Schizosaccharomyces pombe: one gene and its partners. The protein of the gene in region 4 binds, or shares a complex with, the protein of the main gene of each other region. Each region holds a gene or a part of one and is shown on either strand. Other genes may lie near its edges.

Region 1 (8,546 bases), 2.6 Mb from region 4:
TGTACATACAAAGGAACAAGATGCAGCGTCTAGCGTTTTCATATTATCTCGTAACATATAAAAGAACTCTTACGCATTCGGAAAAAAGAAGAGGAAATTTTTTAACCATAGATATCACTAGATAAATTTGATAAAGTGTATAGTACAAAATAAAAAGAACCCCAGATTATAATGGAACACTAAAGTGCCAAAAATTCACAATGAAAAAGCGTATATTAGCTAGTGTCTAATCCATTTACTCAGAACCGCTTTGGTCATCCTCTTCATCACCAGAGATTTCAGCATTTTCCTTTTCAAATTTTTTCATCAAATCGGCAAGCTCCAATTCGTCAGTTTCACTAACCGCCTTGGGTTTCATTTTAACAGTACAGGTACCATTGGATGCTGTAATGGATTTTTCGATTGCACCAATTGCCTCTTCTAGCTTTTTGAGACCCAATGACTTATCTAATGCGTTTGTCAAAAGGACGTAAAGTGGAGGAGCAACAAGTTTAACTTTGATAGGAACCTCCTCGGTATGAACATCTTCAGCAGCCTTCAAAGCGGCCTTGATAGCGTTAATACCTTCGTAGCCAAAGCAAGTGACTTCAACGTCAGCACGAATTTTAATGGGCTGAGGCGTCAGACGACGAGAGATTTGAGCCAACAAATCATTAATAACACCCGATTTGGGAGGTTCTAAACCCTCAAAGACATGATCTGGGTTACTAATAGCAAGCTTAAAGGCGTCATAAGCATGTCCATATTTGCGGTATAATGGCCATCCAATTGTGGTATACATGGTCTCCAAAGGAACATTATGCTTCTCAGCAATATGGCGCATAATGGAATGAACAGCCTTAGATTTGTTGAAGCGTTCTTCGCACTTTACAACATCCTCAGGGCTAACACGGCGCTTTGAAAGATCGATGTATCCTTAATCCTGGTTAGTACATTCCTAACAACTTATAAACCTTTTTTCCCCTTTTGTTTTTCTTTTTTTTAAAAAAAAAAAAAAAAAAAACTACTAATAAATTCTTACCTTTTTCCTTGTCGACACGTAAGACCACGACGACTTCATTACGACCAACGCGAATATGCTTTTGTACTGAACGAATACGACGTCTGGAAAGCTCAGAGAGCAAAACCATTCCTTCAATATTATCGTATTCCAACAATTTTACATAAGCGCCCATCTCCTGGATTTGACGAACTATTGGAAATATTAGCCATTACCGTTTCTTTAGACAGACAACATGTGCATTTTTTACATACCGTTGACAACAACGAGTTCATCCACTTCCGGGAAGCGATTCTCGTACATTCTGCAGCTTGTCGTCGACATTTTTGCAAAGTGTTGAGTGTTTGGTTCTGAGTAAAAATTTGTGTGGACTACCCACTTCTAAACTCTAGGGGCCAATTTTGCTTCTTTTCAGAACCCAGACATTGGTCATTTTAACTTAACTGTTTATCAATAATTATTCTTTATATTTAAAAAGTTTCCTTAAAGAAGATTTATTAGTATCTAAAAGCACATAACGATCGGTGATAACTGGCTTACCAGCCGAACGCTGAATAAACTAGCAGTAAAGTATTTAATAAACTAAAGTGTTTAATAAACTACTAGTTTACTACATCGTTTAGAATTACAGATAATATACTTAAACTTTCTTTTCCCTCAAACGAAAATTACAATTGGAAAGTTTACGAATAGAAGACTCTGTCTAATTGATTCCACTTGTTCCTTTGACTAGAGTAAAGAATTATTTTATTGAAAAGTTGTTAATCCATTGCCTTACAAACCATCCATCACCGTTTTTTGGATTACAAAAAAAAGTGAGAACTCGTATTAATGAAATTCAAAAGGTTATCAATGCCAAACTCAAGAATAGTTGAGGAAATGTGTTTTCAACAGTCTTTGAATATAAACTATTACAAACAAACTTTTTTTTTTCAATGCGCTTCTCGTAGATACATTGAATCAAGAATGCATCTAAACTTAGTAAAGACAACCAGTTGAATATGTCTTTTATATAAATATAAAAGTTCTTTAACACTTGTTCATGAAAATGAACAAGATGTGGTACTAATTTGTGAATTGTATTTCATTTTTTGTCTGTTGTGGGATGTCCTCCATTCCGATTCGTACCTGGTCAATACAAGAATTGCGCTGTAACGAAAGTACTCATCTAGTACCTAGAATGAGAAAAGCCGCTTTAAATTAATTACAAGTATTTTCCAAATATGTTAATATAAAAAGAAGCAAATCATCAACAAAAAAAGATGAGCCTACAGCACCCCGGATTCCCATGTTGTCTCCAACCATAGTACTAACGAGGCCCTCAGACGCTTAACTGCAGTGATCGGACGGGAACTGGTGTTTTCGCCTAGGTATGGCCGTAGACGTTTAAATAGTATATTTATAACATGTATAAGCAATAAGTTTTTGAAGGCAAAGATAGAAAGCATTTAGGGAAACTGATGTATTCAATCAAACTGATAAAATTAAAAACTGTTGAAGGCATATTTCAGTATGCTGTCTAGTAAAAACAATTGAAAACAATAAAACGTACAAAACTTAAATCAGGCCGCGATGAACTGGTATGTATATAATTGCCAGATATTTGCGCAACGGTATTCTTGACAGTGCTATGAAAGCATCAAAAACAGAAAGGGGAAACTTAGTCATGCAGTTTGACGAAGTTTCATTTTTACTTTGGTTGAACGGCACGAGATTCCTCATTTTTAAAACGAAGGTAATATTAACTGTTGATCCTACAGCGATTCTTCCATTTTATTAATCAAGATGTCCTTGAAATCAGCAATCAACTAGTAACGGCAGAATTTGAGTATGTATATTCGATGAATTGTGAGAAACCCTATTTACAAGAATATGCATTAATAAGTATCTTAGTATACTCATTTTGTAGCTTTCAATGCTTATTAGAAAGGCCGATCTGTGATCGAAAAATATAAAAACTGCTCCGGCAGTGACTCGAACACTGGACCTCCTGTTTACGAGACAGGCGCTCTACCACTGAGCTACAAGAGCTACTGTTAGTTTGCACCATTATAGAAATATATAAAATAAAAATACTGTGTTTTTCATATTTTAACATTAACAAATTTAACATTTATCTCGAAAAACAGTTTTACGATTCTCATAATAAACCTTAGGTTTCTTATATCTAAAAATCTAAAAAAATATATATATATATATATATTTTCTTTTTAATCCACATCAATCTGTAATATCTGTTGAATGAAAAATTCCCGGTTGTTTATGAAAGCCTCCCCCAAAAAATAATCAATTTATTATAATAAGTGAGATCTGAATAACCGAATTTATTCATAAAATCTTCAACTAATTAATGAGCCTTTTTTGATGCATAATATCTACAGTACAATCCATATTTTTTGTAATATAAGCCCCTTTAGACAAAAAAGGGACGCAATCATTAAAAGATTATATACGATATTCGAGGTGATTTTTTTGATACTTATACAGAAATACCAAGGATAAGGACAAAAACGTTGTACTAGGAATAAAATGAGTAAAGCTGTATACGTTTTGTCAGAATATCGTAGAGCTAAGTAAAGTTGCAATTGTGATGACTTATCAATGTATAATTATAAAAATTAATCTTCCCGTTCATTTATTTTTAATAGTTTTTTTCCCCAAAATTTTGTCATTAGCTGAGACTTGCAAGTGCCGGTTTAGCGCTTTGTCGAACCGCACTTTGCATCGTGTTATAAATATGTTCTGATCCAGCGATCGCCATATTCATTACTGACTCCAAATAATCCAAATGCATACTAGTTTCCAGCTGCATATATACGACCTTTTTTATGTTCCCCAAAACAGCAACCGTCAACCATGAAAGAGCTGACTCCTCTAGTGAGTTTAAATCCAACAGCATATCAGACTCAACAATCCCAGCTGTACTACAGCAAACGAAATCTTTAACTGGTATACCAGCATCTATTAAGGCAAGAGTAGTAGCGTTGATACAAGATGCCATTACTGCACCATCATCTTGTAAAACATGCAAGTAGACAGAAATTTGACTTCTGGGATATAATTCTGTTTGAATTATCTCCTCAAATGTATTTTGTAAAGCTAAACATTGCAATTGAATTCTCCTATCCGATTTAAATCTCTTTTTCACATCTATTGTGCTGAAAGAAGCAATGTTTATTTCGACATTCACAAATGTTCTGTCAGCTCTAGCTTTGGACTTTATTACAGGCTCCGAGGGTCCATCGACTATACACAAGACCTTTGTGTTACCCAATTCAATAAACGCCGACCCATTCTCCGAAGGCTCGATTCCAATACGACACTGAAAGTTTCTCATCTCATCCCACCGTCGACCATCTTGCAACAAATATTAGCACACAGAAAGATTAATACATTTTATAAGAATCATAGATGTTTGAATGTAAATTTTAAGTTTCTTTTTCATTTCCCATAAATGAATTGGCTTACCATTTCGAAGACCTTCAAGGGATAAAATCTCAAAGTGTGACTATATGGTTAGTACTCGTATTATCTAGAGATAAATTCTATCTCTTACCATATGAAATTTTTTTTTTCGTGATTGAAAGGATTACAAATATATAATTTTTGGTTCCCTTTGAACACTTTTGTAACTGGGAGTGAGTAGAGAGTACACTTGTTACAGTAAAAACTCCTGCTACTGCATTCGCTACGAAACGAATTGGATTTGATGTCTTTGGGGGCACTAATCGATAATGAATTAGATAAATTTATTTCATTTTATTTAAGGATAAAGATTTTTATATCTCGTTTAGTGTGTCGGAAATTTAGTTTACAATATATTATTAATTAAGCGTTCAAAATTATTGAAGCCATAGATTTCTTTTTTTCTTCTTGCATTACCATTAATATTTCCTGTTCATGTTATAAAGAATCAAAAATCGAAATGGGTTTAGGGATTGACATTTTAAAAATTTCAAGAATCTCAAGATTAATTCAACGCTCTCCTGAATGGGAAAAGAACTTTTTAAAAAAATGTCTGTGTGAAAATGAAATTAAAAAGTACAACCTGATTAAAAGCAATTCCTCGCTGCCTCGTTTAAGCGAACAGGCTAAATGGCTTGCTGTTAGGTATGCTTGTCTATATTTATGATCGTTTCATAGTTTTAACGGTTATTTTCCTATGTAGATGGTGCGTCAAAGAAGCTGTTTTCAAAGCTTTACAACCGAATTTTCGAGTTTACATGTCTATGATGGAGTATGTTCGAACTCCCACAGGTGTGTCATTTGTTTTCCATGTTCAATGTTTAAAAATAAAAGGTTTGTAAAGTTACTGACTTTGTTATGATTAATATAGGCTACCCTTCCGTTGTTATTCATGATCCCCGATTTCCGCTTTCTCCCGTAATGGTATCTGTAAGCCATGAGGAAGATTTGGTTGTAGCGAATGCTTTGTATCTACCATCTATGCCAAAGACATAGACGAGAGACCAAATTGAAGGTACTATATTATTTAGTGATTCTATTGCTGCTACTCATTACCAGTCGTCTCAATGACCTTTTTTTATGTTATTGAGTTTATACTAACAGGGAATTATCTGGACAAGTCTACCTTGGAGTAAGGGGATGCAAAAAGAAAAAAAAAATAAATCATTCAATGAATCCTAATTACCAACAAAAAAACAACCGCTGCATAAACTTCAATATATTCATTCATTTTATGAAAGAAATATGGATTGACGTAGAAAAAAAAAACGACTGTTGCAAATTAACTAACCTAACAAAAGCATCATTTGAGAAATATTGTAAATTTCAAAATCAAAAACATATCATAATAATATAGCCATAGCCATATTTTTTACTGCTTGTTAAGAGAAGCGGTAAGTTTGGCTTGCTCAATCAAAACACGAGGAGCATCCAAGACAGGCATATGAACTTCAACGAGCTGAATTACATCAGCTTTTCCAAATTCCTCATCTTTAAAGAGATCGAGGAGCTCCTTTTCTGAATGAATGTTATAGGAGCGAGAATTTTTGGCACCATAGCCTTTAAGAAGGTTTTGATAGTCCCATTCAGTGTTGATGTCGTTGTAAACAGCGTGAAGACCGTGAATGAGACGTTCAATTGTATATCCCTTATTGTTAATTACAAATATGATAGGGGTGAGACCGTTACGGATGGTAGCAGAAATTTCCTGAACAGTTAAATGAAGGGAACCGTCACCAACAATCAATATGGAACGACGGTGAGGAGCATCGGAATCCTTGATGCCCAACGTAGCACCAAACATAGCGCCAACCGACCAACCAATTGAGCCCCATAATACCTGTGAGAGATTTTGGCAGCCTTTGGGGAAAATGCAATCCAAAATACCAAAGTTGGAGGTACCTGTCTCGGTAGTCACTACATCGGACTCACGAAGAAAAGAGGCAAACGTAGGCCAGAACCATTTGTGGGTAATGGTTCCTTCGGCGTAACCCTCAGCAGCAACAGCCTTTGGTGGCTCAAAGTGAACAGGACGGGCCTTTGCCTGAACGGACTTTTTGTCAATGGCAGCGGTGAGCTTGGGCAACAAATGTTTCATCGAAATGCCCTCGTAAACGCCAGAACGAATTTTGGTGTAGTCGGAATGAAATTCGATGGTTTGAGATGCAGGGGTAGCATAAGTAAAGGTGCCCGAGTTGAAATCGGAGCGAAGACCACCGATGATGAGAAGCAAGTCAGTAGATTCGGCACGTTCTTTGATGGAAGGCTCGGTCAAGGAGCCAATGTAGACGCCATCAAAGTAGGGGGATGACTCATTGATCGCAGTCTTACCCATGGGAGTAACGTAAGTGGGGAAATGGGTCGCATCAATAAAGTCTTGGGTTTCCTGTTGAATGTGGAAGCGGGAAACACAAGCGTCAACGAGGATAGAAGGGTTCTTGGATTTTTCGATCAATTCGAGAATCTCAGAAACCACCTCGTGCTCAATCTCCTTGTTGTTTTCGGGAACAGGGAAAACCAATGGAGTCTTCAAGGGAGAAGCATCCGTGTAGAAGTAGCCGGCGTCCGAAGGAACGGCCAGATAAACGGGTCTTGAAGTGCGAACGCACGTTTCCAACAGGTTGTCGATGAGACGACCGGCAGAGTCACCGCTATCCAGGAAGGCGACATCGGCAGACAACTCGGAGGACATACGCTGGAAGACTTTAAAGTCACCATTTCCCAGTGTGTGATGAAGAAGGGGACGAGTGGCTTGAGCCTTGGTGTTGGGAACACCGACAATGTGAACGACAGGAATACGTTCAGAGTATGCGCCGGCGAAACCGTTGAGTGCGGAAAGTTCACCGACGCCAAAAGTGGTGACGATGGCAGAAATGCCCTTAACACGAGCATAAGCATCAGCGGCATAAGCACCGTTTAGCTCGTTTTCATTACCGACCCAGCGAAACGTTTCGTCGCCCACTTTCTCAATCAAATCGAGCAAAGCCAAGTTAAAGTCGCCGGGTACACCGAGGATGGATTTGATGCCCAATTGCAGCAAACGGGTGAAAAGGTATTCACCAACGAGGACTTTTTCGGAAGACATGATACAGGAGTACAACAAAACACGCTACTTAAACAAGACAAGCAAGCAAGTAAGAAGAGCAAAAGGATAGAATGAAAAAGAGAAGGAGAAGAGAAGAGAATAGAGGTGAAAAGAAGAGAAAAGATTGGTCAAAGGAAATGAAAAAGCTCAACAAAGAAAGAGGAGGAATGATACAAGGATCTCAAAAGCAAGTCAAACAAACAAATTTGGGTTTATTAAAAAAAAAAAAAAAAAAGTATAGTATAGTATAGTATAGTATAGTATAGTATAGTATGTGATAAACAAAGGAAATATACAGAGCACAGTAAGATGAATTAATTCCTTTGATATAGATGAGAGAGAGGTTTTAAGTTTGTTTCTTTCTTAACTAAAAAGAATAATAAAAATATGTATGAAACGTGAAAAATTGTTTTAAAGACGAATGAAATGACAGCAACCGCCTCTCCTTTTATAATCTGTGTGACAAGGCCTACAGCATTGACTTTGCAGCATGATTCATCTTTGATCGGTGTATCAATACGCACAACCGATTTGGTCAAGTAAAATCACAGAGGCAAAACTTCGGCTTACTTGATCAGCTTCCTATTTCCATGCAAGAATACCATTGCACTTTGATTAAATTAGCTTGCATTAAAGTTCAGGCTACAAAAACATATTCGGACAACAATGACAAGTATCCGACCAATTACTAAATTCAATGTGCGAACCTCTCCACTCTCGGGTAAGAAGAGTGCATACAAAGCCTTTAGACTTTGTTGTCATGCGCTTCCCTGATACGTAAGTAAATGACAATTAAGATGGAAGGGATTGCGAATGTCGCTTACGTGGCGATGGGCTTGGATGGATGGGCAAGCGGTCAGTCGCTGTTTGTTTATTACGGGAGGGGAGGAGGGATGGAGAGTAAACAACGTAGTATTGTAATGTTTGTGTGAAGGAATGGAAGTGTTTGTGTGTGTGTATTGTGAGTATATGGATATTGTGAGTAAATGAATGTGT
Region 2 (6,563 bases), 620 kb from region 4:
TTTTCACCGTGGAATACCGGGGCTGCACTAACTAAGATGACTGGTTCCACATGTGCAGACCGGAGCACTTTTCGACAACCTTCTTTTAATTAAGGTTCTTATGGCAGTTCGTAACGATTTAACAATTTCAATAAATAGCCATCGTCCTGTCCCATTGCTTCTTTGGGCATTGGTAGAGTTTGCCCTTTTAAGGCAATCTTTTGCTACATAAAGGTGACTCAAGTTTACGCTGCGATTTTACTACTTTTCTAGCATATGATCTACAAAAGGTCAGCGAAATTTTTCTTTGACTAGGAAAATGGATTGAGGTCATCTTCGGCAAGGCAAGCTGATATTTAATTTAATTGTTCATATCGGCAACATTTCGTAATTAGTTGAAGGGTATGAAAAACGGTTCTACGGTTATCTAGATGTGTTTATTCACTGTTTCAGCATAATATCACTTCCGTTACGTGCGGGGCACTTCGTCATGCAAATTGGTGGTTATATAGTATATATAGAGAGACAAGGCCAGCATTATTAAATCGTCTTCAAGCTCCCTTTTTCCGCTACACTCATAACTTTTACGAAATAGCGAAACGAAAACGAGACATAACGTAACGAAACGAAACGTTTACTAGTATATTCTTGGTTTATTTATTTTGTATTTAAACCAGTTGAAGCATAGTAGCGTATAAAGTGTTAATTTTTTCGCATTGAAGGGAATTTTGATATTAATATTTTGAGATTTTAGAGACACATAGATTTATTTCTTTAATCCTTTACTCACACTTGCACTTCCCCACCACCTAAAACAAGTCATTTTATATTCTTAGATCATAAATTTCGGGAATATTTGATTTAACTATCCAACTTATATTTAATTTTATTTTAAGGCTTTATTCTCTTTTTTTTACCTTTTTCTTATTATTCTAAAATATGGATAAGCACTTTATCAACGATCCTGAAGTCCTCGTCCTTGATGGCCTTAAATCCTTGGCCGACATGAACAAAACTTTAACTGTTCATGAAGAGGGAAAATTCATCTATTTCCATGACTACAACAAAAAGAATGTCAGTGTCATTTCCGGCGGTGGTGCTGGTCATGAACCCACTCATTCTTCGTTCGTGGGCAAGGGTATGCTTACTGCCGCCGTCTCAGGCTCCATTTTTGCTTCTCCTTCGTCAAAGCAAATTTATACCGGTATTAAGCAAGTCGAATCTGAGGCTGGCACCTTGGTAATTTGCAAAAACTACACCGGTGACATCCTTCACTTTGGTATGGCCTTGGAGAAGCAAAGAACGGCTGGTAAGAAGGCTGAACTTATTGCCGTTGCAGATGACGTATCAGTAGGTCGTAAGAAGAGCGGTAAGGTCGGACGTCGTGGTTTGTCTGGTACTGTTCTTGTTCACAAAATCGCTGGTGCAGCTGCCGCCAGAGGGTTACCTTTGGAAGCCGTTACGACCATTGCTAAGGCTGCTATTGACAATTTGGTTAGTATCGGTGCTTCACTCGCTCACGTTCACGTCCCTGGTCATGAGCCAATTGCAAAAGAAGATGAAATGAAACATGATGAAATGGAACTTGGAATGGGTATTCACAATGAACCTGGATGCAAGCGTATTTCCCCTATTCCCTCTATTGATGACCTAATCGCTCAGATGCTTAAGCAAATGTTGGATCAATCCGACAAGGACCGTGCCTATGTAAAGATTGAGGGTGACGATGAAGTAGTCTTACTTATGAATAACCTTGGTGGTCTTTCCATGCTTGAATTCAGTGCCATTAGCCACAAGGTGAAGGAAGCATTGGCTAAAGAATACAAAATCAACCCCGTTCGCATCTTTGCCGGTCCATTTACCACCAGTTTGAATGGCTTGGGTTTCGGTATCACTTTGCTCCGTACCACTGACCGCGTCAAAGTCGAGGGCGAAGAATACTCTTTGGTTGATTTGATTGACCAACCTGTTGAAGCTATCGGATGGCCTTTGTGTCAACCCTCTGACTTGAAGTCCAAAAACAAGATTGGCAATGTCAGCATCGAGGAGGGTCAGAAGGATGTCAAGTCTCCCGTTACTGTCGATAAGGAGAAGGTTCGTCAGGCGATTGTCAATTCGATGGAGAATCTCATCAAAGCAGAGCCTAAAATTACAAAGTTCGATACGATGGCTGGTGATGGTGACTGTGGTACTACTTTGAAGCGTGGTGCTGAAGGTGTTTTGAAGTTTGTTAAATCCGACAAATTCTCTGACGATCCTATTCGTATTGTTCGTGATATCGCAGATGTTATTGAAGACAATATGGATGGTACATCTGGTGCTTTGTACGCCATTTTCTTCCATGGCTTTGCGAAGGGCATGAAAGACACCTTGGAGAAGAGCAAGGACATTTCATCTAAGACATGGGCTGCTGGTTTGAAGGTTGCTCTTGATACTCTTTTCAAGTATACTCCCGCTCGTCCTGGTGACAGCACTATGTGTGATGCTCTTGTTCCATTTGTCGAAACATTTGTTAAAACTAATGATCTTAATGCTGCCGTAGAGGAGGCTCGTAAAGGTGCTGATGCTACTGCAGATATGCAAGCCAAACTTGGACGTGCTGTCTACGTTGGTGATGATGTTAAAGTTCCCGATGCCGGCGCTCTTGGTGTCGTTGCAATTGTCGAAGGATTTACGAAATAATTGGATACGAAATTTTTTTGGGATTGTAGAATTGGTATGATCTTAAAAACTATTTACGAGCACGAATAACAATTATATTTTCATTATGCATGCATTAATTATTGCTTACTTATCTTTGCATCTGTATTTGTATATTCATGCATTATAATAAGTAATTTTTTAATTAAAACAGTTGAGAAAGGACGAGTGTAGATATTGTATGAACACGCTGCTGTAATAAATAAAAGAACGACAGAAATTGTATGGGAATATTAGACACAGGCATTAAAGAAGAAACAATACACTTTATTCAGAAATGGTCCCTCCTAGATAAGGGCAAACCATTTTTGAATTAAACCCAATTGGACAAGAATTGTTAAATAGACTGTGCATATTATTCAAATTTTTTTTTCTGAATCTCGTTAGAGCTTTTTAATAAGGTCTTTACAGTACTTTATTTGCTCTTCATCAGACATGAATTCGCAATTTCTGATAGCTGTACAAATGAGGACCGTAGTAGAAAGATTTTCAGAATTGACCCAAACGCGACCATTCATTCCAACAGCAATTTCGAAAGGAATGTAGCTTCCTAGGGTCTGTAAAAGTGTATTTTTAGGAAGGATCAACTTCCTACAATGAGATAAAGATAAACCTGTTATCATATAACCGTTTTTAAGTTCACCATATCCTGCAGCTTTCCCTGTGGTAGCATCGAAACATTCTAACTCCGGTTCCATATCACGATCAGCGAGTGATACTCGAGCATACACAAGGCTTCCAACATTTAAATTGGGCCTACTTTTACGAGTCACATTTTCAAAAGCCAATGCATTCAATTGAGCAATATGAGCTGACCCAATATCTACTCGATAACCTTCCGCAAATCTAGAAATAATTTGCCCAATAACTTGATCATTTGTAGCAGGAATATATCTTTTTGTCCGTGAGTCTATCAACATAGCATTTTTTCCAGTTTGATGCAACCTCCCAGCTTTTGAGACCACTATTTCTTCTTCACGGTCTTTCTTTTGAAAGACTAAACCAGGACCTAAACGAATTGATCCATCCTGACTAATTATGGAGTCTGGTATCCGCTCACCAGGAAAGTAATAAGATAACAGACCTTTTTCTTCAACTTCAGCCATTTGGTTAACAGAAGAAAATTAGCTATTTGGGGTTTGATTTTTCGCGAGTTATACACTATAATTCGAGGATTAATGTCTTGGACGGTAAGTGTGTCTAAACTAATACTGTAAATCTCGTTAATTTTATAAATCACATTAGCCCAGACTGTGAAAAATAACGCAAACGTACATTGTGCTATAATGCTGTTTACGAGGATTTTCTGTATGTATGTCGTTAATAGGGATATCGAATTTAATCACATCGTAAGCAGACGTAGTTGTATTTGTATCATCTCAGTACGCGCTCTCATCTAACAAATGCACATAGTAAACACATGTTTGGATGACACTTACTCATCATTCCACGTTCATAAAAGGGATAGAGGGTTCTGCTGAAGGAGAGATAGAAGATGTAAGGCAAACTACTGTTTTTGATCCTCCGTTTTACGGACATCCGATGTTGGTTCCACCGTCGCCATCTTTGACTACGATGTTTCGAACGAGGTCTACAACGCCTGATGAAGAGGGAACTGCCATTGCAGAAATTGATCAACAAGATTGGGATATAATGGTAAAAGTTCCTACTTATGAGTATTACGGGTTCGTGATGTATTTGGTGTCAATGTTGGGGTTCGGCGTGTATATTGTTTGGGCTCTGACGCCTGCGCCTGTTCTCAAATTTTTTGAGATTCATTATTATCTATCTCGTTGGTGGGCTCTAGCTATTCCTACTTGGTTATTTGTTCTTGTTATTTACATTCACGTTGTGCTAAACGCTTACAATACCGAAGTATTGACTAAGCCATTTAGCAGCTTAGAATGTATCGTTGATCAATACGCACTCGTTGGTGAAGAAGATGGTGCTGCTCATGGTCGAGTTGTTGATCTTCGCCTATGTGATGTGAATAAACAACAACTGGAAGAAACTTAAAAAAGACTAAAAGCAGCTAAGTGATATCAGAATTCATTTTCTCCTTAAAAATCTTCATTATTTAAGGGACTTATTATCTATTGATGTCGTCGACCCATACAGATTTACTTTTAAATCCTGGTTTCCTTAAGTTTCACAATCAAAAAGTATATGTAAATGTATAATATTATAAGAAGGTTGATTAATGCTCTAGTCCTACTACTCCAACCTGCATACTCAAGATTAGATGTTTTTTATATTCCGCTAATAATATACCTAAGAGTTGTTCGTAAACAAAATGTTTTCAGACAAATAATTAGCTATACGAACAAAACACACCAAAACAAGTAAATGAATAGAAGAGAAGTAAAAACAGTATATCTCTTTTTAATAGTTTGACGAGAGTCGTTATTCCCAGTCATCATCGTCTTCATCATCGTCATCAACTTTTCTATTTGCTTCATCCTTCACCTCAAGAGAACTTTGAGAAGCTTCTATATTACTGGAAGATGATACTTTATTTTCCTCTTCTTCTTTAACTTCTCCATCAACCTCTCCATCATGGCTTGCGGGTTGAGTTTCAATTTGTAAGCCTTTTGAAACTGCTGACTCCAAATCATTGACGGTTTCATCTATCACTTCAGCTGCTGAATTATTCTCAGTAGTATCTTCTTCACTTGATTGCTTTTTTTCATCATTAACCTGTTCATTGTCACTTTCTTCTTCATCACTTCTTTCATCTCCCCAACTAAAAATTTCTTCTTCATCGTTTCCTGATTGAATTGCCTTTATCGGCTGTACAACCTCTTTATGCCAAAAAAATCGTTTCCAAAAATCATCATAAGAAACTTCAGAAGGTACTAAAGATTCCATCTGTTTCCTTAAATCAGGATATTCTTCCAAAAGTAAAGAGATCTCTTCAGTTTTCCCATCAATGGAAATTTCTTTTTCCCAGCTTTCAAACGTGATCCCATGAGAGGGTTCAGAGATAATTTGGGTAAAAGTATTTTCGTTTTGAACAAGTTCCAACAACTGTCTCTCGTGGCGATTTAAGAAAACAGACGAAGAGGCTTCGTGTGTAGGAGTCGATACATCGTCTTCTTTGGGTGATATCTGCAATGCTTGATCCAAAAAACCATTCACTGTAGATCCGAAGCCACTCCAGAAACTTCCTGCTGTTTCTTCTACTTTTCGCAAGTTTTCCATAGCAGAATTAACAGGTATATTTTCTTCAAGCTGTGATTTTAATTGCTGCATTCCACTTGAGGCTTTTCCCTTTGTATCATCAAGAAAGTTTTCACTCTTTGAACGGTTAGTAACAATGCCATTATTCGCAATCAACACACCTTTTCTTTCATTGAGTTCCAAAACAAACCAAACTTTCCATTCGTCAGATTCTGTATAAAATGTCAGTAAATTCCGCGCCGTAAATCATCATAAAGGATAAATTACATTTAGAGCCGAACCCATTTCTTCTTTCAGTTTTTCGTATCCCTCTTCATCATCTTCTTCTGTAGTGGTTGTAGGTGCCATATAATCGTACAAATCCATTTTGAATAGTTTAAAAGAAAACTTATGTACTTAGTTGTTAGAATAAGCTCACATGTGTTTGGTAGCAAACAAGCTATATATGTTGTACTTGGCAGCAAGTGAAGATATTGTATAGCCTACCGAATAGTGACACGATTATGCTCGTATTCTGACTATGGACACTTATACTAACTTAGTATACTTCCAATAATACTTTTTAATGAAAAAGGCATTACACAATCCACTACAGCTTATTTTCGTCCAAAAAACAAATTCTAAGTTTTTGAAGTAAAGCAATTTTAAAATATACACAACACCATAAAATTTCACCACTTTGCACTTCGACTTAATCAAATGAG
Region 3 (8,315 bases), on a different chromosome or scaffold from region 4:
GCTCCAATAACCATGGAGACCACAAATCCATAAGATCTAATCTGAATATCATGCCATCCTTCTGTAAAAGCGAAGCCTAATCCTAAGGAAACTATTATTGATGCCAAATAAAATCCCCAATGAACACGCTTATATTTCTTTAAAAGTTTAGTGTGAATGTCTGAATATTTAAAAACGTGACAGATTGGCTGAATGACATCGGTAGGAAAACGAAGGAAAAAAGATATCATCATTGAAGAAAATGCGCCTAATGACAAGGCTATGTTTATGATGAAAGCAATAGGAAGCATAACCGGAGAATATTCTTGATACTTTTGAGTTACCAACTCCCATTTCGAATCAACCACTTTTTGAGCATCATAACTTTTCCCCGAAACAGTGTAAATACTGTTAGTCATAATGGGGAAATGCGCAACTTGCCAGTAATTTTGATAGTAAAGCCCTGGAAGTACAATCCAAATCCAAAACACAAAGGATGTAAAAATACAACATGTAGCCCACCAGGGAGTGATCAAAGGATTACTTAAACTGGAAATTTGGGCCCAGTCGAGCGTAAGAGGGAAAAGACCCAGTCCAGTCTTTACCCCAAATATTTGAGATAGAACTGCACTGGAAGGCTTACACCAACTGATCCAAGCACCCAAGGAGCTTAAAGCAGGAAAGATCAGATCAGGAAACCAATACCATATGAAAGAAGCAACAAAAACTATGAAAAAGTAACGAAGCCGAGAGATTGTCCAGTTGCAGGCCTTAGTATTATCATTGTCGTGAAATATCTTGAAAAGTGCGCAGCTACTCAAAACAGAAGGCCAAATCAATGTTGGCGGATACACTAGAATTGGCAAAGCGAGACCTGACCATCCGAATGACGAAAGATAACTACATAAATTGAATAAAATGGCTCTACCAATTCCGATGTTAACTCCAAAAAACTTTATTTGTTCGATAATTAAAGTGTTAACTAGTTTTGCGGAGACACAAATGTTGACGAATATATATAGGCAGGCATGTTCCTTTCGGTTGAATCTCCCTGGATTAAGTGAAACACGTATACCCCTTGGGAGTTTTATTTCCCACTGTGGAATAATATAATACCAGAGCTGACCCAATGGATATGCTACAAGAAGAGCAACGATAGCTGCAATGGAGACCGAAGGATAACGCATCAAAAAGAAAGCATCAACGCCTGCAATAACGGTAGCAAGACCAAATGCCAGTATCCACATCCTGAAAGCTACAAAGAAAGTGAGAAGTTAATATCAAGGTTGAAGGGATAGTAATGGAAATCCTGAATGACAGCTTCTAAAAAAAAAAAAAAAAGGAAAAAGTAGGATTAGCTTTGACTTACTCGATGCGGGTATATCAACATCGTCCGTTACAGGTACAATTGCATCAATGTCCCTGACGGTAATATCGTAAACAGCATTTCCTGGTACTGAGGATTCTCTTTCAGTAATGTCGTCAACAAACTTTTCGTGACCAGCATAATTTATGATTTCAAAAGATTTCTTTTGCTCATCGAATTCATGAAATTTCGAGGCGATAGGGCTCGAGTTTTCTACGATATGGTCTTTGTTGTTTTCAACGCTTTTCGATTCAAGTCCTTTGAAACCACGAGTAACGTAAGTGATAAATTTTGGAGTTTTCATCCTTCAAAAATGAAATTGTTACTTAACCCAGGACCAATTTGATCAAAGTAATCTTTATCAGATCAGCAGCTTTGGAGAAAGAAATAAGACTATATTTATACGATTGATGTGCAAGCTGGAGTAATCGCAAGGGTTTCTAAAGGATACCAACAACGAATAATAAAAACCTGTGCATGAGTTCAAAGTTACGAATTATCTCCACATCTTTTTCATCACGTTTATACTCTGCACAGCGACAAGCCGACTTACGATGGTCTGGAAGTTGCTGCCTAGAAGCCTTCCCAAATTCAAATAGTGAGAATTGATCTGTTAAGATTAGTTGCAGCACGGTTTACTCACCATATGGCTAATTTCGGAACAACATCTTAACTCTCGCCGAATCACAAAGCTAGTAGATATAAAACCATTGCGCTCTTGCATTCCAGTGAAGACAGCGTATTAGAAGACAATCTCAGCCCATCATACAGTTACTGACAAAACGATCCGGAATTATAAGCTTCTCGAACAAATTATCTAAGATGGAATGAGCGACTCCAGATGTACTTTTTTCGGTAAATTTTCGTCATAAAGAGATGTATTTGTAACCAACTTTTATAGAAATCCTAAGCTTAAGATTGAAGAATAATCTGATAAGATAGTCATCTGATATAGTTAAACATCGACTATTTGAGGTAATAAGTATGCTAATGAAAGATGTTTTTGTCGAACTGATTATTGAAACCTATTATCATATGGAAAATAAAACCTTTCAATCCCTTTTTATGGAACTAGCCCAGAATCCATTAAAGTCAGTGTACCTGCGAATTGGATTTAGAATCCTCTATTTGATGTCATGGTAATGGAATATTTTGCAATTATAAGTATTTACAAACAAATATTAGGGATGAAGAGATTAAATTTGATAGTCTCACGCTGGAGTAGCTTAATGAGTCATGACAGCTATATACGGAAAAGACGGGTAGAATAGAAGCTCTCGTGCTTATATGAGAATCTGGAAACAGTTGTCTACTAATTAATTGATATAAAATATATCAGTCTAATGGCCGAAAGTAAAGATTGAGATGATACTTGATGTTTAGAGACAACCTAGTATTTTATAAAACTGTGTATAAAAAGTACATCCAATCCCTTAATGTAAAAACTGAAAGTAGTTTTGAAAAGTTACTGAGAGGTGTACGAATACTAATTTTCATGTCATTAAATACTTCATCCTTAAATCTGTGATCATAAATGTTATTTCAGGATATCACAGCCTCCAATGAAAGGTGCAATCCTCGATATTAAATTACACAAAATAACTTAATACAGTAACCTTCTTAGAAAGTTGTAAACATAACACATATTATTGCTAGAAACTCCTTATTCATGTTTTTGTTAATGAATTAGAGTTTATAAACAACCGACCAATTCAGTTCCATTAAGTAAATAACTTTAAGAAACTTCAGAGCTCCTGTCCGTTCAGTTGAATTACAAAGGTTCTCTATATCTTATAAAACTATACATTTGACTTCTAATTGAAAATGATATCGGTTTCGACAGCAAGTCACCTCAATCATCATTCTAATGAACTTCCAATATTTCTATATTCAATATTATTTTTATCCGTGTTCCGTATATTCGTATCATAAAATCTCTAACAATTTCAGAATTTTTTTTTTGTTAGGAAAGAACGAACCGAGAGGGAAAAAAAACTATCAGGTTATATCAAAACAAAGCAATTTTATCCCCTCATTTTATTCGTCTAATATAGGTTTAGCACATTTACGCATTTCCGTATATCCTGATTTTGTTTGCATATGCTGATAATCCACCGGAAACATTTGCTCTCCTGTTTCACTAGACTGAGCAAAAATCACACCAAGATCATTTCGAGCTGTTGTTAAAAAGTACGAAGAGCCGTCTCCAAGTGAAATTACAAGTGCTCTGACAATATCACCCGGTCGGAATGAATTTTGCACTTTGACTTTATTTTTCTCAGTAGCTCTAATATCCTGCACATGTATTACCCCTTGAAATTCATCTTTGGTGCAGACATCGTCAACGACTGAGATGTTTACAGTTGCTTGACGAGCATTGATCCTGCTGACGCGAGCTAAAACAATAGATCCGACATTAGGTAAAACGGCTGTCTCTTCAACTTTTCTTGGGTACGTTACAGAATTTTTCTCTGGATCAAAGATGCCAGTTCGTGTGGAAATAATATAATCTCCTCTCTTTACCGTTCCTTCACCGTTAGGAGCCCCTCTCGCGACCACCTGTCCAGGGAGAACCAAATTCATATTTAACGGCTTTAATAAACTAAAAATAAAGGAATCAAGTCCGTTTTGTATGGCTGTAAAAAATTAATTGAAAAAAAGTTGCTGTAAGCACAAAGGTCGTTGTAAACTGTAGGTTACAATGTAACCTAAAGTCACTGCTGCAGAAATTTCAGTTTATTTTGCTAAATTGAGAAAATGAAATTGCAAAGGCATTTAATTATCAAACAGTTTTTCTGCTCTTCTTTCAACAAAAATTTTTTCTTGATAATCCCAAAGCTTGGAAAGTAAGTTCACAAAACGATGCCAAAATAAAAAATCACTAAAAAAAAAATATGAGCAGCAAATATAATAAATCATTTTTTTTGTTTAACTCAAATGATCTTTGTAAATTGGACCATGATGCTGAAATATTTCTCAAGGTAGAGAAATTTTCCAGTGTAAACATTAAGCGTGACAGCAAAAATGAAGAATGTTATGCACAGTAAATGATATAAATTGTGATGTTTTTTTCCATATAATAACAAAAATCAATGATAAATATAAAGTCTTTAAACAAGTTGACCACAAATTTCAAAATCAAAGTGCATAAATCAAATTAAGGAAACAAAGGTATGTTAACGTTCCCAAGAATCATTTAAGAAAGATGAAACCCACAAAATAAGAAGAAAAATGAGTTTGTGATCCACAAATTTAACAAGAAACCAAGAATTTTTTAAATTCTGAAAGAACCGATGTCCTCGAACTCGGTATTTTAAACCATTTTTTTAAGTATTTTCGTTCAAGTGTCAACTCTTTGTCATCAGAATTAATCTACAACCTCAGTCATATTTTTTTAAAAAAATAAAGAAAGAATTTTCACTTCTTTCTACGAGCTAATAGCTTCCTGATAAAAGACATGCTGCAAGGTATGAATATATCGTGGAAAGCTTAACAAAATTTGCAAAGGATTCGCCCGCACAAAGAGGAAATATAACAAAAAAATCATTAACCCAAATCCTATGTAGCCTTAAACGTTTGTTCTCATTTGAAGTTTAACGTCCGGTTTTTGTATTAATGCACAACGTCAGGTATTGCTTCACCTCGAATTTTGGTCCATTCTATTTCTGAATCTAATTCCTCATTCACTAATCCAACCATTGCTCTAAAAATAACTATTAGATTATTGATTTACGTACCGCCAGTACAAGGCTCTGCGTCCACTTACACATTTTCTCCACGTAATAAATAAACGCCTAAAGGAATTGTTTCCATGTCTTGATCCATGCTAATAATTCTTTCAAATGAGTCTGAAAGTATAAGATTGGTCGTGTGATCGAATCCCTTCAGGGAACCTAGCACAACGCGACCATCGTTTGTAATGACTTGAACCCTTTCTAACGAACATCTATATTAGTCACTTCATTCTCTATTGAAAATTTGACACTTACGTTCCATAAAATCAGCAAGACTCATGATAAAGTGATTTAAGTATTAGTTGTATTACAGTATGGTAGTGCTAAACAAAAGTAGGTAGTCTTACAGCATGTATTTCAAGTGACATGATACTTTTTATAAAACATACAGCAAAAACAAAAAAATCAAGAATTTTAATAAACTAATCAAATTGAAAACACCTTTTTGTCTTAAAATTTTGAAGCTAACTTTGCTATCAATATAAGAAGTAACCCAATTATATTTTTAGTTTGGAAAGGAACACAATCTTGTGTCAAAAGAAAATTAAAGTAATTTGTGAAGCGCACGATTTTTAAATGATCTTTTGTTTTATTAATCAACGAAATTTATTTTGTAAAATAGATCTATTAAAGGAAAAGGTATTGAACATTATTCCAGCTATATCCGGCTCACGAATCCTTCCTCATCATTACAAGCAACCGTTCTTCTAACTAAAAATACCCGTTGTAAACAAATATACAAATCTTATGGACGTGGGGAATATAGATGTATATATTTGACTACAGTTATATTCTTGAATTACTTCATTTGATAGTTGTTGAGTTTAAATCATTGAAGGATAATTCTTCTTTTGAAGGTTTGCTTAAATAATTTGGAAGAAATAAGTATTTAAGAATTCCGTTTTATAAGAATTTTTTCACAACTTTAGATTGTTATCGATGTGCCTTACTATCTTAGTTTTTGAATGAAAAATTAATGACGGCTCGAATATAAAGGGGACGGTCTTCGCTCTTTATTCAGCAAAGAACGTATGGAATAGAAAGAATTTGTACTAAATGTGTCACCATAAGTGCGAAGCTTTAGGGTTTTTACATTATAAGACAAGTTAGATTTTTGTTTTAAAGGTGGCATTTAGAATATAGACAGATGAAGTTAAAGGGCGCAGCTCGTTTTCCTTGGCACTTTTTTACACTCATCTCAGTACTTGTATTATCTTCTCAAAGCAGCTTGGTAGTACAATTTTCTTGGATATTATCCCTATCTGATAAAATAAAGTTTCGCTAATAATTAAGCGAAGACTTACAACTTTGACGAAGCAGCACACAGAACTAAACCAGTAGATCATAGTGACTATAAAAGCAAATCTACTTAAAGAGGCTGAGAAATTGCCATCGTGAGTTTATTTATTTTCAGCTATATTCTTCAATGTAAATTTAAGTATTTATTGAGAAAAATTTAAGAAAGTTAAGTTGTTCGTTATAACGTACAGCAGCTACGAAAGGATATTTATACTACTGTCTCGCAAATAAACATTCTAGCAACTCATTAACATCATAACTTGTGTTGGAATAGTAGACAACTATGATGAATAAAATAAAATAAAAAGGGCAAGTTAGAAATCAGAAATTTATGCTTAATGTTTCATTTGGATTTTCGTTATTTCCAATGTATTCTGAATATACTCATACTTAAACACATATTGTTATATGTTATATTTGTTACATCAGGGGGATCGATATATCATATACTCCACAGTATAGCTAATTTATTTGTAACCCTTTTTGAAGAAATATTTATTTGGTATTGAGAATTAAATTAAATTTAAAGATTTACTATATCATAGCCTATTTACTCAATCTGTTCAAATGTTGCTTTCGCAAACATATTTTTATCAGTCACAATATAATGAAATACACATTTGATTTAAAACAATTTCAAAAAAAAAAAAAGGATGTTGATTAGAATGAAAGAAAAAAAATAAGATTTATATATTTTCAAAACAAAAAAGGTGTAGATATCAATAATAAGAAGACTTAAAATTCTAATAGATCTCGTAACGATCAGTTATTTTAAATTTATAAAATTAAACCACAGTGTATTGTTTTAGAATATATGAATTTAATACTTTCGCTCAACGATTTCTTGATCGATCAACTAAATATGTAATAATATTAATTAAAAAAAAATAAAAAAAATTTGAGATTTTTTCTTTCCTCTTGCTATGAATCACGAAATTTTCTGTATGAACAGAATAGCAATCAACTGGCTTCTCAGACACTTCATAAAACTCGAAATTGTGTCTTCAGGGTTATCGGAATAAATATTATGATTCATAAGCTCTATTGTTAGCTTAAAATTGAATTTGTTATTAATCTAACATATTTGTAAATGGGTTTATGAAGTATTTGAATTTGAGATCTTATTATTACGAATTTAAAATCCAAAGATAATTAAGAAATTAATCAATGGCTTATAAAGTATAGAAAATTAAAGACTAAATTATCAAAGCATTTTTATTTTTAATTTTTTTTAGCGCTCTCATTTAAGACAAACTTTTACTAATACTCCAATTATGAATGATGGTTATTTTGCATACTTATTAAATGATGTACATATTTTTATAAATTAATAAGTCTAATAGAAGATAATTAATTACCTCTTTCCATCTCTTGGTCTTCCTTATTGAGCTAGCACATTACCTCATTCTCTTCAACTACGATTTACTAACTACTCAGGTTGAAAGGGTTTTTTGAACATTGTTCGTAAAAGGAAATTTTAAAAATATTTTGAGACAGCATTTTTGTGTTTCTCAATTATTAAGATTAATAATAAGCATCACGAAACTTTGAGGTGTTAGCTTACATTAACAATTCTGGGGTTCTAATCCTTATAATAATTTGGGCTGGCCTATATCAAATTGTCTAATTTGAAGATTTAAATTCTTTAAATAATTTTATTTTTACTTTCTCCCTCGTTTTAAGTATGAAAATTGTTGTTTTAGGTGGTTCAGGCTTTTTAGGGCATAATATTTGCAAATTAGCCATTGCTAAGGGTTACGAGGTGGTTTCAGTATCCCGAAGAGGAGCTGGAGGATTGCATAACAAAGAACCATGGATGGATGATGTTGAATGGGAGACGTTGGATGCTCAAAAAGATCCAAATTCATTACTTCCTGTTCTTCGTGATGCCTCGGCAGTGGTGAACAGTGTTGGTATCCTTATGGAAAATAACTATA
Region 4 (8,823 bases):
TTGTTGACCCTGTTTCTGCTTTTCGATTCTTTGAAATGTCCAACATTCATGGTTTGGTCATTCGCAACCGTCGTTTAAAGATAGGTTGGGGTAAGCATAGCGGCCCTCTTCCCTCAAATATCGCTTTAGCCGTTGCTGGTGGTGCTAGTCGTAACATTTATATTGGCAATGCTGATGATTCTTTGACTATTGAACGCTTAAAAGAGGATTTTGAGGAATTTGGCGAAATTGAGTACGTCAACTTTTTCCGCGAAAAGAATTGCGCTTTTGTTAACTTTACGTCGTTGGCAAGTGCGATTAATGCGATTGATCGAATCAAGCAGAAGAAGGGATATGAAAACTATCGAATTAGTTATGGTAAAGATAGGTGTGGTAATCCACCTAGAACTAATTCCAAGTCAGACGTTCTTTCTGTCTCTTCTGATATGAGCATGCCTGTTGATCTCGTTGTTCCTCAGCAAGGAATATCCGGGTTTATGCCAACAAACTCCAATATTTAAATATTGTAGAGTGTTTTGCTCTTAAACGTGTTCGATATTTTTATGGATAAAGGTTTTCCAGCGCTTTGAGTTCATATCAATTTGTGCTCATAAAACACCTTTTATTGACGAACTTTTTTATTGCTTATTTTACAAAATCACTTTCTTTTTTACATTAGATTATTAAGGGTAACCATTTGCATTCGCATTACAAAAGAAAAAGTATTCTTTTGTTTAAATGACCTTACTTGCTATTGTTTCAACATTCCTTCGTTTTACTTTCTCTCGTTTATGCCCCTTACTCAACGTGGCCCATACTCTTTTCTTCTTACTTTGTTTCATTTTTACGCATTATAAAACCTTCATTGTTGAAGTAGCAGTTTTTTTTTGTTTTATTTGGCATTTTTTCTACTATGTTAGAGGTTATCGAGTTTGTATTTCTATCAAAAGCTCGATGTCCTTCGTTTTTGATTCGTTTTTGCAAACAATATTGACGAATCTTTCCACATTTTCAATTACAGTTTTAAAATGTACTTCTGACTTCTATTTTTATTTTTTTTTTCATTCTACATATTCTTATATATTTATGTTTCGATTTTCAACGTTATTTCTTTATCAAAAGTGATTGCTGAAGACTTCAACGGTGTTGATTAATACTTAACAATAGCTTTAATTTGATTGTCTGGTCATATTTAAATGCTAGTTTGTTAATTATGGTTTATTTGTCGCGTTCTAAATGCGTTTTTCAACCCATTATTGTCTACTAGTTCCAAACCGAAATTGTTCTAATGATCTTATGTATATATTTTTGGTCTAGGTAAATATACATCTCTTCTTTTGCTCATCCTACACCGTCGTTGAGAGATTGTACAAAGTTCGGTAATTAATGAATGCAAACATAACAAAACTCTACCGTAGTAATGAGTTTTGAAAAGGCATCAGTATTTGAGTCTCTATTTATATTGTGCGTTTGGTGCTGTAAATGTTTTCCTCATTTATTAGAACAGCTGAACATTGTAGCACAATCTAAAAACAGTTTATTCAGTTTCATTGTATAATGCAACTTAAACAAGTATCTAATTTACACTATTTGTAAAATGAAAGAAAGACAACGCATCTACCACTCTAACTTACGAGATCCATCCATAAACATATCAAGGGTCGCCTCATCAACTTTCGAACGTGCTGCTTGAAAGTCAGAAACGAACTGCTGTAAAAGCTTAATACACTCTCCTTTCATTTCTCCGGTTGAAAGAGTACCAGCCTTATAGGTATTGTACAATTGTTTCAACTTCTCGTCGTCATCTAGGAAAAAAGAAAGATATTGATATGCAACATCAACGTCTGGGTTACCTCCTTTTTCACGGTGGATTTCGATTGTAGCGCCACCTCCAGAGAAAGCATGCCTGTTGATCTTATTTTTAATTTTGTTTGGAGTATCAGTCATGAAAATCGCAGAAGAATCTTTACTGGCACTCATTTTTGATTGTGGTCCTTGGAGAGCTGGGAAAAAGCGACTATGCAAAAGTGCAGGCTTCTTAAATTTCAACCTACCAGAAACATCACGCGTCAAGCGGAAGTAGGGATCCTGGTCGATTGCACAAGGAATCAAACACGGGATATCTTTGGCGCCATTAAAGATATGAGGAAAGGAGCTGCTGAAGCTAGGAGCGGCTTGAATTGACGCAAAATGTATTTTTCCAATAGAGTCACTATCGGTGAAGCCGAAACAAGCCTTGGATTGGTTTGCAGTAATGCATTTCGCAATACGAACGACATTTTGATAAAACGCACCTCCAACATAGGTACTGTTCATGAAAATAAAAGTCTTTTTTGGATCAAACCCAACAGCAATAATATCCTTAGCATTCTCACGAGCAAATCGTTGGCAATCCTCTAAGGAAACACCTTGCTTAAACAAGAACTTCTCATCGTCCGTTAACTGGATGACCAATGGCACTTGAAAAACATCCTGAAGCCACTTGCAAAACATAAAAGGAATCATATGGCCTAAATGCATGCTGTCACTACTTGGTCCTCTACCTGTATACAAATAGAAAGGTTTCTTCTGCTCATAGCGGTCCAAAATCATATCAAAATCACGATGGGAGAAGAAAGCACCTCTACGAAGTAATAAATGAGGCTTCTTTCCAGTTAGCTTTTCGAAGCGCTCAAGTTGTTCAGGAGTAATTTTCCTAGTGCCAAATTGAACGATTAAGCGCTCATAATCGATTCCTTTCTCTTCACCATCGACTATAGAGCCTTTTACATCCCAGGGCGTCACAATTTGTTCCTCAACAGACATTTTTCCTCTTCAAAAAGAAACTGTTCAAGGCGCACTACGTTCGCAGAAAATTTTGTTGCTTGGCGGAGGAAGTGGTAAATCAGACAAAAGCGATGACTAACTTATCGCCAACAAATTCGGTAACTTCATAATTTCTTTAAAAAATTTCTGTTAGTACTGCTGATTCCTTTATAAAAATGTATTCATTATAACTGTTTCTGGGTGCTTAAATTAGTTGAGATAGAGCGTTCGAAAAACTAGCGCAGTTGTAGTGTCTCTAATTAAAGCCGATACGAAAACTTAAATAAGAATTTGAATAAATGTATTACAAAAAATATGATTAAATATAAACTGATATATTAGATTAGTGGGACCGCTGCCATCAATAGTAAAGCTATCATAAACAACTTTTGCAAACTCACAATTCTATTTTTATATATAAACCCATGTCCAGCACAAGTGTTGTTTTTTAGAGACAGAAAAGCTTTTCAAAGTCACTGCATTGCTTCCATTGCTATCTGATCCATATTTTTAGGAACAGTCAAATCTTGAAGGTTTGAGAAAACAAGAGATGATTCATAAAAATTGGTGATTGAGGCTTGAGTCAGAGGGAGAGAGCGACTAGCCAACCCTTTAATGCAAATGGATACACGAGATATATTTAATCTGGTATACCCATCAATCTCATCGTTTTCGTTAGAATATATGGATTCTGAGGCTTCCTCCTCCAATCTGGTAATACTCACTGACGAATGTTGATTTTCATTATGTTTAGAAACCCATACATATCCATTTACACTAAGAATAATGTCGACTCCACCTGCTAGAGCATAAGCATGTGATTTTGATCGAACGACCAACGCAGGAGGAACCTTAAGAAAAACACCATTTCTGAGTTTTCCATATTTTAAAGAACGTGTATGAATTGATACAGAACCATCGGAAAAGTACTGTTGAACTTCCGCAACTAAGAGATCGCCTTCTTGGAAAAAGCTACGCATCTGAAGCTCATCAGTCTCTAGTTTTCGTCTTTGAATGCCACCAGGAAGATTAATAGAAGAGAGCATAAGCACAGCATTCTGTTTGGCACCAATATCCACTTTCCAGCGTTTTGGTTGGACTTCAGCAATTTTCCCAATGATTAAATCACCAATTTCGGGAACGTACTTAGAACGAAGAGGTTTCACGGATATCAATTTATTGACCCTTTGTACAGATCCCGCAACAGATGCATATATTCCTCCATCCTCGAAATACGTTCCATGACCGCGCATAAATTGAGGATCATCAGTCACTAGTTGTCCGGGTGTAACTAAATTTTGATGTATCGATTTATCAAATTCCTCTAAAACGTCTTCTCCGTCTACAAGACCCATCTGTTCATCCTCCATTATTTCATCCTCCATTTCAGTCATGGAAACATCGTTTACGATGTCAGCTTCACTAGAAACATAGAATTCTTCAGGTTTTAAAATTGTAACCATTTTTAAGTATTTCGTTTGAATTCGACAAAAGAAGATACTGGGACAAACCACGACTTAGAATTCTTAGAAACTACAAAACTAATAACTACCCTTTCCACAAATCAAGATTAGTCGGGTTATGTTGGATAATTAGCTATAGCCACTAAATTTAAACCAAATCTGGTCTCCTGTAATGCTTTTACACTAGTGTTTATGCAAAAGTGAAATTTACACTGATTCATAAAGCTAAAGAATTTTAAACCGCTAAAGTAACGCGTTGCTCCTCGTAAAATATCTAAAGGTAAAATGATGATGGGTTAGTAAATTTGAAATATTCGATGGATTAAATAAGAAGCTGGGGAAAAATTATGCAAAAACTATTAATAAGAAGAAAGAATTGTCATTAAAATCAAATTGTATACATTAGTCAACCTTGGTCAGAAGAGGTCTGATGAAAGCTATGAATCAACGAAGAAAAAATGGAAATAATGCTTTATTCTTCAATAATTATCAATATTCAAACTTAATAAACGGCTAAGTTTACAAATTATAAAGCCATTAACACTTTCAACACTTTTTTAAATTTTATTTTATCAGGGCAGATTTACGATACTTCATGAATTGTTAATAGTCAATTAATTTCAACAAAATTTTTAATTAATTATTTTAAATTATCCATGTCAATTCCATCACAATGTCAAGCCAAATTGTATTAAAGCAATATTGCAATGGAATAAATTAATAAAATATCGTTGTCTGAAGATTTCTGTAATAGGTTATTTATTCAATTATTTTATAATTTTTTTTTTTTTTTTTTTTTTTTTACAAATGACTCATGTAAACATTAACAGTCTAATATTACTGTCTACAGATTGTTATATGCATTGACTTCCATTCGTGTTGAGTACTCTAAAATACTCAGCTCCTTAACATTTTTGCAAAGAACAAGTTATGTGGGTCAAGGTATTTAGTTTTTACTTAACTTAAAAGTAATACAATACAAACATTGTAAACATCACGGTTAAAGAACCCAATTAAGCACTATTTCACGTTCATAATAATATAGTTAAATAAAAAATACAGATTTTTTAAATCAAGTTCAATAAAAGATTATTTCGTAAAAAATTTTTTATTTTACTTTGATAGGCTTGAATTAACACATACAGGGAATAATAATGACTAGACGCTGAGCAGATGACTTGCCATCACTCTGTTTACCCCATTTTCTTAAAAACATTGCGTCTTTTTCTTATATTTAAATCATTCTTAAATGGAGTTTCCTGTTTTCTCATGAAACTTACAATTGAATCGAACTTCTTTTAATTATTTACTAAATAGCGCTAGTAATGAAAGTGCAATATTATCTAGCTGCGCATTGTAGTATCTTGTTTGACTTCTGTGAGTTTTCATTGTGATCGGTAATATCATATTATATATAGGTGTGATGTGGGTAGCAATTTGTTGTAAGTATTTATACATGGGTTACGTTGTTACCTGCCATTAATTAACATATAAACGAACCTGTTTCTGTTCAGATGTACTCTGTTTATAATCTTTTGGAGTAAACATGATCAAACACAAACAAGTACTCAAAAGAATAGTTATCAGCAATTATTAGTAAACGAATCTTAAATCTATCCTAACAGATGACATATAGTGATACGCAGCGTAACGTAGTGTAGTCTTGCTTACGAAAATCAAAATATAAGGATAACTAACACACTTTTTAAACAGCGAATGCCAAAAAAGGATGGGAAGCAAGTGCTATTAAATTCCTAAGAAAAAAAAAAGCTTGAAAGTATTATTAGGTGTTTTTATTCAATAGATGTTATAAATGCAATTGAGTAGAATCGATGCTATTTTACGTTACTAACCTTCATTCCAGTCTATTATGTGGTTTTTACTGGTTCTAACTACTAAGATTTAGTGTGTTATAATTATATACAACGAAGTCAAGTCAAGGACAACAATGTTTATACATTCTTCACTATCCCCTTCAAGTACCTTTTTGTAGCTTATTTAATTGTTTTGAGCATTTGGATTGTTAAATTTTAGAAAAAAAGTTTTTGTTAGATTCAGATTTCCATTTATAACGGCCACTCTTTTCGTTTCAAAGAAAATATAAAATCCGGTATCATACACTACTGCGCATTCGTTAAATGTGGTTTATTTTTTTTTATAATACAAATATTACATATATTTAGTGTTTTGGGTGGTTATAAAATGGCTTTTAATCCCCTTTTATCTTTATTGAAAGCAGATGCCATATTCCTCGGGCAACTTTCCAAATCAAGCTTTTGTGCTACTAGTAGAGCTTTCTCTGTTTTCTATTTTACAAGATTTAAGCGAAGTGCTTATGTGTCAGCGCCTTTTGGAATCGAGCCTCATGACGAGAAGGAATTGAAAACAATTGATGATAACGTCCATTCCAATAATCTATCATGGCAGAAAATACAAGAGCACGAGGTCATACGTGAATTGTATAGGAAAGCTGCTTATGAGCTTCCTGGACTTACGCGTAAGTTTACTGGGTAGTTTTACCTTAGGAATTCTATTTCACAATCACTTTAATATGCTTAATGTTCCATTTTCTCTGACAATTATAGCTTACACACAGTCTTTTAAAAAGCCTGCTGATAGCCAGATCTTTAGGTTTGAATCTGATGTCCAAATGTCTTCGTTTGAGAAAATGAATCCGAAGGTCGTTGTTACATTTAAAGTTACGAATATTCCTTTGCTAGAGGAGAAACAACGACATGTATTACGATTATTGGTTGGACCAAGATATAATCCGGAGGAGGATTTAGTCAGAATATCTTCCGACAAGTATTCTTCTGCACTACAAAATAAATATCATCTTATAAAGATATTAACTTCGCTCATTGAAGAATCGAAGAGAAATGCTGAAAAATTTTCACATGTCCCATTGAATACTGGCCATTGGAAATACAAGAAGTGTGATAAACGGATGCCACAGGAATGGCTCGCAGACGCAACTACACTCACTTCTAAAAAGAAAACAACGATTGGCAAGCAATCACATAATACAGTACTTGAACGAGAATCGATAGCAACTACAGATGAATAATATGAAAGGAAAGTTTGTTTAAGTTACTATTAAAATTAACGAGTCTATAATGTAAGCTAATATTGAAGGAATTAATCCTTCTCATTACTATATTAAGATGAAATAAAACTGTAGTATAAAAGGTACTGTTTCTCTAATCATAAATTTCTAACGGAGGGATTTTGTCAATACTACTGAGCCAATTTCTTGCGTTTGATTCGGTAGACATCCATTTTAATGGAAGTTCTACCAACTGTCCCCGAATGCCACGTAGTAAGTCGTAAACTACACGTTTGTCAGGAACTTGTAAACCATTATTAGTACGGGTTTTTGGTTTCTCTGTCTTCGAATCTTCACTTGCACTCGTGTTACCACTACCTTGGGAACCAGCCTTTGGATTTTTTGGATCATTCTCTGACTTTTCATGAGTTTCGTGTAGATTTGACAACTCCTCCTGACGCCAGCGGGCTTGCTCTTCTTTAAAGCGTTTTCCATATTTTTTCCACTCATTATATGATTCCCACGTTAGCATCTCGTCATCCGGTACACATCGAAATATGTGCCGATAAATAGTAGTATTGTTTGAAGCCACTTTAGACCATATGTCTTCAAAAAATTCATCGCAGACGGGGTCCTCAAAGCTTGAAGCGTCAAATTTAGGAATTGTTTCTCCACTAATAGGATTCACCTCAAGCAATGGTATATCATCATAAAACACAAGTCCATTTCCACAGTGTGGACGACTGGGTTCAGGCACTAGATGATCAGGGTCTTTAAGTACCATTGGACGTTGATCCTCCCCACATTGAGAGAACTTGGAAAGTTCATATAATGAGTCCTCCTTTGTTTTCAGTGATAAGGGGATGCCGCCTACTAGGGCGTTGGCTATAACATCAGGCCCTTTTTTAGACTTCTCGTAGTTCTTTTCAAACTCGACCTTGTCCTTTTGAGTTTTAATATTGAATTCAATCGAAGAAGGAATTAAACTGACACGTTGATCTAGTTTCTTCATACTCTTTTCAGCTTTTCGTAAGATGTCTGGAGTAGTGGTAAATTGACTCTGAGAACGATATTTCATTTTCAACTCTTCAGCAGTGTAAGCAGAACCATTAATGGCATTGCCTTCATCAGGAGTCCAGACTTCTACACGTTTCCACTCTGTATCGCGATCCAAGCCATCCATGTTGTATTCTCGTTGTTCAAGCACATCGGTCTCTAAACCTAAGTGCTCCCTCATAAGTCGTTTCCGAAGAGTGTGTGCAAATTTTCCAACTTTATAGGGCTTACCGTCCATCTTGGAGTCAATGGTTAGAGTATCTCTAATTACCGCAGCAATTTCAGAATCGCGGTTACCAAGCAAAGAACGTTCATTAATGTTTGCGGAACCAATGACCGCAACTCGATCGTCTGCAATAAGAATTTTAGCATGAACATAGATCATTTCAGTCACAAGTTCATGGTTTTCTCCCAAATGGGCCCAACCGCGCAAACCATAAAAACGCAAGTACTTGCTGCCATCAATACCCTTGG

The links.
Region 1: rrp4 (region 4) and rrp41 share a complex: the UniProt entries of both Schizosaccharomyces pombe proteins name them as parts of the RNA exosome complex.
Region 2: rrp4 (region 4) and rrp40 share a complex: the UniProt entries of both Schizosaccharomyces pombe proteins name them as parts of the RNA exosome complex.
Region 3: rrp4 (region 4) and csl4 share a complex: the UniProt entries of both Schizosaccharomyces pombe proteins name them as parts of the RNA exosome complex.

Annotation. Positions count from the first base shown.
Region 1 is NC_003424.3:3,159,234-3,167,779, reverse strand, and holds rrp41 (exosome 3'-5' phosphorolytic exoribonuclease Rrp41), read right to left. Parts: upstream 4,654-8,546; 5' UTR 4,560-4,653; coding exon 4,557-4,559; exon of another isoform or gene 4,509-4,556; coding exon 4,469-4,508; exon of another isoform or gene 4,358-4,468; coding exon 3,672-4,357; 3' UTR 3,426-3,671; downstream 1-3,425. Other genes in the region: tif211 (translation initiation factor eIF2 alpha subunit), read right to left, coding at 236-915, 1,022-1,192, 1,255-1,324; ppt2 (holo-[acyl-carrier-protein] synthase new8), read left to right, coding at 4,926-5,110, 5,169-5,257, 5,337-5,461; pdc201 (pyruvate decarboxylase), read right to left, coding at 5,838-7,550. UniProt on the Schizosaccharomyces pombe protein: Non-catalytic component of the RNA exosome complex which has 3'->5' exoribonuclease activity and participates in a multitude of cellular RNA processing and degradation events.
Region 2 is NC_003424.3:1,176,147-1,182,709, forward strand, and holds rrp40 (exosome subunit Rrp40), read right to left. Parts: upstream 3,795-6,563; 5' UTR 3,786-3,794; coding exon 3,063-3,785; 3' UTR 2,710-3,062; downstream 1-2,709. Other genes in the region: dihydroxyacetone kinase Dak1, read left to right, coding at 919-2,661; mug84 (pig-P phosphatidylinositol N-acetylglucosaminyltransferase subunit), read left to right, coding at 4,108-4,695; SPOM_SPAC22A12.14C (BSD domain-containing protein), read right to left, coding at 5,083-5,976, 6,021-6,071, 6,127-6,225. UniProt on the Schizosaccharomyces pombe protein: Non-catalytic component of the RNA exosome complex which has 3'->5' exoribonuclease activity and participates in a multitude of cellular RNA processing and degradation events.
Region 3 is NC_003421.2:2,274,946-2,283,260, reverse strand, and holds csl4 (exosome subunit Csl4), read right to left. Parts: upstream 3,994-8,315; 5' UTR 3,929-3,993; coding exon 3,383-3,928; 3' UTR 2,975-3,382; downstream 1-2,974. Other genes in the region: opt3 (OPT oligopeptide transporter family protein), read right to left, coding at 1-1,234, 1,349-1,649; U6 snRNP-associated protein Lsm8, read right to left, coding at 4,958-5,048, 5,112-5,280, 5,335-5,359; ubiquinone biosynthesis protein Coq11, read left to right, coding at 8,063-8,315. UniProt on the Schizosaccharomyces pombe protein: Non-catalytic component of the RNA exosome complex which has 3'->5' exoribonuclease activity and participates in a multitude of cellular RNA processing and degradation events.
Region 4 is NC_003424.3:557,721-566,543, forward strand, and holds rrp4 (exosome subunit Rrp4), read right to left. Parts: upstream 4,442-8,823; 5' UTR 4,248-4,441; coding exon 3,258-4,247; 3' UTR 3,104-3,257; downstream 1-3,103. Other genes in the region: RNA-binding protein Nrd1, read left to right, coding at 1-500; tryptophan-tRNA ligase Wrs1, read right to left, coding at 1,597-2,784; rsm24 (mitochondrial 37S ribosomal protein mS35), read left to right, coding at 6,450-6,744, 6,833-7,314; phospholipase D Pld1, read right to left, coding at 7,448-8,823. UniProt on the Schizosaccharomyces pombe protein: Non-catalytic component of the RNA exosome complex which has 3'->5' exoribonuclease activity and participates in a multitude of cellular RNA processing and degradation events.